Linked DNA regions of Arabidopsis thaliana. Each later gene encodes a partner of the first gene's protein in a complex. Each region holds a gene or a part of one and is shown on either strand. Other genes may lie near its edges. The genes, in order: AT2G20635 and BUBR1.

What was found.
Region 2: AT2G20635 (region 1) and BUBR1 share a complex: the UniProt entries of both Arabidopsis thaliana proteins name them as parts of the mitotic checkpoint complex.

What each region holds. Positions count from the first base shown.
Region 1 is NC_003071.7:8,898,472-8,902,394, forward strand, and holds the start of AT2G20635 (protein kinase and Mad3-BUB1-I domain-containing protein), read left to right. Parts: upstream 1-1,888; 5' UTR 1,889-1,938; coding exon 1,939-1,991; intron 1,992-2,090; coding exon 2,091-2,238; intron 2,239-2,405; coding exon 2,406-2,563; intron 2,564-2,660; coding exon 2,661-2,751; intron 2,752-2,841; coding exon 2,842-2,955; intron 2,956-3,046; coding exon 3,047-3,134; intron 3,135-3,353; coding exon 3,354-3,457; intron 3,458-3,534; coding exon 3,535-3,606; intron 3,607-3,680; coding exon 3,681-3,770; intron 3,771-3,859; coding exon 3,860-3,923. Other genes in the region: PIA1 (PP2C induced by AVRRPM1), read right to left, coding at 1-94, 192-428, 1,145-1,177. UniProt on the Arabidopsis thaliana protein: Serine/threonine-protein kinase that performs 2 crucial functions during mitosis: it is essential for spindle-assembly checkpoint signaling and for correct chromosome alignment. Has a key role in the assembly of checkpoint proteins at the kinetochore.
Region 2 is NC_003071.7:14,213,798-14,217,720, reverse strand, and holds the start of BUBR1 (BUB1-related (BUB1: budding uninhibited by benzymidazol 1)), read left to right. Parts: upstream 1-1,666; 5' UTR 1,667-1,802; coding exon 1,803-2,002; intron 2,003-2,090; coding exon 2,091-2,150; intron 2,151-2,266; coding exon 2,267-2,411; intron 2,412-2,499; coding exon 2,500-2,657; intron 2,658-2,738; coding exon 2,739-2,823; intron 2,824-2,912; coding exon 2,913-2,982; intron 2,983-3,058; coding exon 3,059-3,119; intron 3,120-3,236; coding exon 3,237-3,411; intron 3,412-3,505; coding exon 3,506-3,591; intron 3,592-3,665; coding exon 3,666-3,752; intron 3,753-3,847; coding exon 3,848-3,911; 3' UTR 3,912-3,923. Other genes in the region: GALS1 (glycosyltransferase family protein (DUF23)), read right to left, coding at 1-360. UniProt on the Arabidopsis thaliana protein: Essential component of the mitotic checkpoint. Required for normal mitosis progression. The mitotic checkpoint delays anaphase until all chromosomes are properly attached to the mitotic spindle.

The DNA.
Region 1 (3,923 bases):
CTTTGCCAAGTTTAAGTGACTGCTCTAATATCACAGCATCGGTTGATATGTATGCATTCCTTATAGCGTTTTTCGTATCAGTCCAAAAATCCTTCTGAAATAAGTGAAACAACAAAAACATTTTAAGTCTTATCAGAGACATTATAGAAATCCATAAAAACAGATTCATGCATGCTTTAAACATGAGTTACCTCTTTGAGTATGTTATCAAAGAGATTGGTTTGCAAGTACTTGGCTACATCATGCCCTAAGTGACCATCAAAGATAGCAAACAAACCCAAATCATGGCCGTCTACTTTCTTGAACTCAGACACAACATAGTCCTCCATCGGATGGCCCGCTTTGCCTTTCACAAAGTCATAACCGTGTGCGATGTTCTTCCACACCTTGGTTTTACCTCTGCCTGTGTCAGATCCGCATAATCCAACCTTCAAATATTCACACCCAAACAACAAGAAATTATACTATTAGTTTCATTTTTAAAAAAAACTTTTTTACTACTCAATACATTATAATCATTTTATTCTTAAGCTAAAAACATAAGTTGACAAATAACAGCAAAATATAAGAAGAAAAAAAAAAGCAAATATGAAAATAAATGAGAAAGATAAATTATAAAATCAAGTTTGGTTTGATAAACAAAAAGAAATTCAAAGTTTAGACATTTAAAGAAAAACAAATGATTATTAGATCCACATAACCCTTTGTAAAGACTCAATTTCATGAATAAAATTCAGCTTGCAGAACAAAACAAACAAAAAAGATCTACATAATCCAACCTTTACCAATTCACACCAAAACACAATCACATTAATCCAAGTTCTGTAATTTCTTCATCAAGAGCAACATACATACATTTCATTATCACCAAATCTCTAACCAAAAAGAGAATATAGAAAATGCACAAATTACTGAAACAAATTCAGTAACACAAGCTCTAGAAGAATCAATATCATCGTTTAACATGCGAGATGCTAACTTCCTTAAAACGGCTCTACGTACAAGTTATCACAAAGAAACAAATATAGCTTAATGAGAAACAGAACAAGACATACAAGGATCAGATCACAAAATCAAGATTCTTTAGAGCCCTTGAAACGCTACTAAAGAAAAAAGAAAAAGACTAGCGTTGAGCTAAGCATACCTTCATCTTATGGAGAATCTCTCTGCCTGCCATTGTTACAAGAATTTGTTTCTCTGCCTTTGTGTCTGAAATATGAATGATTCTAAGAAAGAAAAACAGAGAGATGAGTTTATGTAATAAATATGAATGTGAGGTAATCAATCCACATGTGAACAGCCGGTGATTCTTATCATTATTGGCTACTGACTTCCTCCGCCGACGACTTTTCTTCTTTATATTTTTCTCAAGGCAAAAGTATTCCCTAAACAAATTCTCTCTATTATTATTTGCTACATTCTTTCACATTGCCGACAAAATAAAACATTACTTTTAAAATAAAAAACTGTTATTTCGTGCACATCATCTCATTCATTACATTATTGATCGGAAAAATATTTTTTTGTTATTACTTAAAATAACAAGACATTATTTTATCAGTTTTTCTAGTTACTCTGTCATGACAACATGTGCAACAAAGAAAGGAAACTTTATCTTAAAAATATTTTCAAACAAATTCGAACAAAATGACGTCGACAAAAAGAAATACGCGTGTAAAAGACAAACCACACGCAACAAAGGCGCGTTTAGCGCGTAAGACTAGAATCCGTGGACCTGAAGCGCGTGGGCCGGGATTTTCATTTGTCTTAACTGAAACAATGGGCCACATAATTAACAAAATAGGCCCATTTACACTTTTGGGTTATATAGAATATTTGCTCTGGTCCAACAAATTTTGAATTTCGAAAGTTAATTTTTTTTGAAAAGCTTCACTTCCCACTCTCTCTCTCTCTCTCTCTCTTCCTACGGCTGCGAAAATGACAATCGGTTACAGAGACGCCGCCGGAGACCCGCTCTTCCCGTGGCTTATGTAACTCATGCTTTATCCTTCCTTCTCATCTAACTAATTGTGCTATATGTGTCAAAATGGATTCTAATTTTCCGATGTTGTATTTTGGGGTTTTCACAGGGAGATTAAAAATTCGATGGAGGATCTATACGCTGGTAAAAATTCCGGATACGATCTCGATAAGCTTCTATTTGATTGTATCTCAACTTATAAGAAAGATTCTCGGTACCGAAATGACCTCAGATTCCTCAAGATCTGGTTTCTCTATGTAACTTTACTAAAACCCTCTCTCCCAACTTGTTTGAGCTTAAATTGTGCTTTTCTTTCCTCGATTGTTTGTTTGATTAGCATTCTTAGGGTTTGGGATTGTTATATTGCGAATCAACTGATGTAGATGTTACAGTTTGGGGGTTAAATTGTTGAATCTCTTCTTAGCTTGAAGGCAGGGAAGATTTTGAGAGGGTTTATAGAGAAATTGAAGAGACTGAGATATGTAAAGGGCATTCGTTGCTCTATGAATGGTATGCTATTTTTCTTGAGGTCAAAGGATTGTGGCGAAGAGCAAATTCTGTTTATCAGACTGGTCTTTCAAGGTCTCTTATCTTTCTCCTTGTTCTGTGGCTCCTTCCTTATCTTTTTCCTCTAGTTTGTGGTTTCATTTCTTATTTGTTTCTCATTGGAGAATTGTAGGAAAGCTGAACCATTTGACAGGTTAAAAGAGGCTCACTCATTGTTCTTACAAAGAATCTCTAAGAGGACCAAAGCATCTTCCCTTGAAAAGGTTTATTTTTTAATTTTAATGAGTAGCATATGGTTATTCTAATGCACTTTGATAGCTTTAGTTGAGGATTGAACGTTTTCTTTCTGGCAGGTTGGTGATGATGCTCAGGCCACTGACTTGGAGACGGGTTTTGTGAATCCATGGGAAACATCCACTGTGAACGGCTTAATTCACAAGATAAAACCACAGCTTGTGAAATATGATGTAAGGCTGATGGAAAATCATGATATTTTACATGATTTAACTTATATAGGGAGGCTTGTCCACTGAGTTTCTTTCTTTATGTTTGCATCAGGGGTACCATGTAAGCAACAAAGTTTTCCCTGGAAAGGCCAACCTGTCATCTTTGCAGAATTATTCCAGAAATAAGATCATTGAGATAGGTATACTTTTTTCATACCAATCTAGTCTGTCACCGCTACAGGATAAAGAATCCTTCTTTTTATTATAAGATGCATTTTTCAAATTAAAAGTGGCTGGGCATGTATTCATTTGTGTAAAAGAAATTGATTCCCGCTTTGTTCTCACCTGGGACAATATGTCTTCTCTGAGACTAAAATAAAAAAAGTGACCTGGATCCATTGGCTCTGTCTATTTGCTAGGTGGAAGAAAGTACCAGATGAAGGGCTGTGCTGGCCAAGGTGGTTTTGCTCAAGTGTTCAAAGCATTCATTGACAGCAATCCTGATGAAGTAGTTGCTCTAAAGGTAGATAGACCCTTAAAGTTTTTTCAAATACAGTATGATGCTAAATGCTCATATTGCATATACAAATCTCTTCACAGGTACAAAAACCACCTTTTCCTTGGGAATTCCACATGTATCGCCAACTTGATTGCAGGATCCCAGATAGCCAAGTATGCCCTTTTCCATTAATATTACCAGTTCACAGGTGTTTCACACCGTACTAATTACTCTCATGCTATGTTAGAGATCAAGTTTTGGATTGGCTCAGAGAGTGCACGTGTATTCAGACTACAGTATACTTGTCTGCGATTATTTATCACACGGGACACTCCAGGTAGGTGGTATCTTAGGACTCTCACGGACTGAATATACAAAATGCAAACATAGTTCTTTGCTTCATTTGCCTTCTTTTTGTGATTTAAGGACGTCATAAACTCGTATGTCGTTGTTGGAAAGTCCATGGAAGAAGTTTTGTGCATGTATTACA
Region 2 (3,923 bases), 5.3 Mb from region 1:
GCCGCGGTAAGCTCCCATTAGTACGAATAACGCCGCCGCGTTTCCGAACGGTTGGAAAACGCGTTTGTTCGGATCTGAGGGAGTTGAATCGTACTTCTGAGAAGCTGCTGCAGTTGTCGTTGAGAGAGAGGTGGTGAAATTCTCCGCCGAAGTGAAGTTCGATGAGGAGAGTAAGGTGGTGGTGGTGGTGGTGGTGACGGCGGAGCAGGGACGAGCGGTGGAGATGAGGTTGTGGTAGTAAGGAGGAAGGTTCCAGACAATCATGACGAGAGAGAGAGCTAGTAATGTAGCAATTATTGGTTTCTTCTCGAAACATACTGTGGTGGTTGATAACACCGGCGGCAAAACTTCCTTCCTCATGTTTTTTTTCCCGACGACGGTGAGTAAAACGCACCGTTTCGGTTATCAATTATTTAAAAATTAAAAAAATTCAAAAGTGACGACAAGCGTCAGAGAGAAGTGACGAGAGGCTTTGCCGACACGGCGTGTAGAAATTAGAAGACTCGTGGCTGTCTCACATATGATATGAGGAGTGATGTGGTGGAGGTTATACGAGAATGGGCTTGGATCTATTATGATTTACGAAAAAGACACTGCATCTAACTTGTAAAAAGTTGGATCAAGTCTGTTTTATGTATTGCTGGCTCCCAATTGGCAGCATGGTGGGGACACATGGTCCTTTGGGCAAGTTGGCGTAACGGTGTACCTTCTTTGGTGATGATTTAGTTTCGGTTAGAGAAATCGAATGAGTTTGGGCACGGAAAGGTGAAATGTGAATAGACTCGTTAAAGAGTTTGTGAATTCCCAGCAAAAAGTAAAAAAAAAAAGTGTGTTCTAAATTCCTTTGAATGTAGACTTTGTTTTAAACATTTGAATTAAAAACATGATTTGTTCTTCCAGTTATGGAATTCTTAAACGTACGGCAAAAGGCTTTTAGTTTTAGACTTTAGTAATAACAAGCAAAATGTATATTGATTGCGAATACGATTGCATGCATTTAAAGACTTGTTTTTTTTTCCAAACTTAAACGTCAATAAAGGAGATCATGTGTGTCACATTCCCAAACTGAAGGATACCATAAATATCAATTCTTTTATTATGTTTTCTTCATTTCATTTTCTTCAATAAACTGTTACTGTTTTATTGTCGGTGGAAGTTGTTACAATGGAAAAACAGACTTTGTATACAACTTCTAATCTTGAGTACGTTTTGTTTAGGAATTCATAATTGAGCACACTAGGTTTAGCGTGTAACGCAATGTATGTGATCATCCCTTGTTGAACCGACAGACAGAGAGCATCTTGTGGTTGTGGATGAACTTTTTTTTAGCTTCCAAGTCAAAAAGTGAATTATGCTCGTAATTTATTTAAAGAAGGTAAAAAAAGAGTACATCTTCTCTTTTATCTTTTGCTTTGATTGTTATTCTCCAAAAGACCAAAACCATCTAATTTAGAAGAAAACAAAACAGTAAAAATAATTTTCTCTGGATTATTGTGTTATTTTGTTCAGCCAATTGAATTAATGAAGTGTATTCTGTCATTTCTTTTACTATTTTACTTTCGCTCATTGTCATTTTTCTTCTCTTATCGATTATTTGTAGTAGGAGTATACACAATTCGGTTTAGATGGCCACTTAATGGGTTTAAGAAATCAAATCATGGCCCATCTAAGTTAGGCCCATCAAAAGCGTCTATACGCTCCGAGTATGCGTACATCAAAGCAAAAAGTTGCGAAGCTCTCTCATTGAGTAAACTAACGGCTATATTCTCTCTGATATTCAAAATTTGCTCGAAGAAACGACGATGGCAGCCGAAACGAAGGTTCAGGTTTCAGATCCAGAGGCAGAGTTTCTTAATTCGAAGCAGGAGACTGGATACGAGTGGGAGCTTTTCAAGGAGAACGTCCGGCCATTGAAGAGAGGTCGCAATGTTGGTATTCTCAACCACGCTCTCAAATCTCACTCTGACCACCAATTGAGAAAGAATCTCATCGAGAAACGCAGGTACTGATTTCAATCTCACATCTTTGCTCTTGGGTTTTAGTCTAATCGCTCGATTCTTGTCTAATTTTGTGTTGTTTTTGTGAATTAGGAATTTGATTGAAGCCATTGATGAGTATGAAGGAGATGACCCTTTATCTCCATGGATAGAGTGAGTTCCTTTTATCATTCTTGATTGGGTTGTTGAAAAATTGAAATTTTTCTTGAACCAATCTTTATGCTGTGACCAATTTGTAAACTGAGCTTCTTAATTGGTTTCTTTGGAAGGTGTATAAAATGGGTACAAGAGGCTTTTCCACCAGGAGGAGAATGTTCAGGACTGTTAGTGATATATGAGCAATGTGTTCGTAAATTTTGGCACTCTGAACGTTACAAGGATGATCTTCGTTATCTTAAAGTCTGGTTGGAATATGTAATGATTCTATCTTTAATTAAACCCTCTAGATGATTCTTTCTTTGTTATGGAGAGAGTACTCATAGTTTTTGTGTGTGTTTTGAAGGCGGAGCATTGCGCTGATGCGGAAGTGATTTACAAGTTTTTGGAGGTCAATGAGATTGGAAAGACACATGCTGTCTACTATATAGCTTATGCTTTGCACATTGAGTTTAAGAATAAGGTCAAAACTGCTAATGAGATCTTCAATCTTGGAATCTCTAGGTAAATGAACAGATATGTAATCTTACTTTCATGTTTCGGCTCCAAGTTATTGGTCTGATTTGAAAGTGGGAACTTGTGCAGGGATGCAAAGCCAGTGGAAAAGTTGAATGACGCGTACAAGAAGTTTATGGTGAGAACGATGAGAAGGTCCAACACAGCTGATGAAGTAAAAAGTTTTGTCTCTTTGTAACACTTTATATCTATTCATTATGGACTAAGGTTTTTCCTAATCATAATTAATGTTCTACCTACCAGCAGGAACCAAAGGAGAATAATGACTTACCGTCAAGAAGCTTTGGCACTTTATTGTCCAGGGGAGATAATAGTGAGTCACATTAACTTAACTTGGAAACCACTGAAATGTTTTGGTAAGCTATCTTACATGAAAATGTTTTCTGTAGATGCAAGAAGGCAGGCGTTAGGAAGTTCTAACCCACAAGCCAAAAAGCTAAAGCCAAATCAGTAAGTAGTTTGATTGGTTCTATATTTCTCGTTGTTTTCATTATCTGCATTTTCTATCAACTCATACCTTTAAATTATTCTGCAACTCACTATGGTAAGCAACTTTGTCTTTTGCAGATCATCCAAGACACCTTTTGCTATCTACGCAGATGCAGTTTCAGACACCACATCAGGGAATCAACCAGAGTCAGACAAGTCAAGACCAGAGTTTGGTAGTTGGCTCATGCTTGGAGGCAGAGCAGAGAGGAACAAAGAAAACAATTCTTTACCTAGAAAATGGGCATCATTCAAGGTTTTCCCTCTACCCTCCTAAACAAAACTATCTCACTTGGCTCATACTATCTCTATAAATTGATCACTAACTGCATTTATATTTATTGTCACAGGTTCCTCAGAAACCCATTGTGAGAACTGTTGCAGCAGCATCTGCTTCCACCTTTGAGGTTTTTGTCGATGAAGAAGAATGTACAGAGTAAGTTTGACTAATTTTTCAGAAGTTTTCTGAACAAAACATGTTTCCACCATTAACATGATTCTGAAATGCAGAGAGGAAGAAGAAAAGAAGAAGAATGATGAAACTATCTCATCATCATCAAACGTTCTGCCCCTTAATGGCGGCCGTGAGATAAAAAAGTAAGCAAAAAAATTCCCCTAAAGATTCATTCACCAAACAAATATTATATCATGACTTGGTAGAGATCTAACAATGGTTACTTAAAAAAATGCAGAGAAACAGAGCTGCTACGACAGAACCCTTTAAGACATTTCCCACCCAACAGCTTCCTACGATGATGATATTGGACT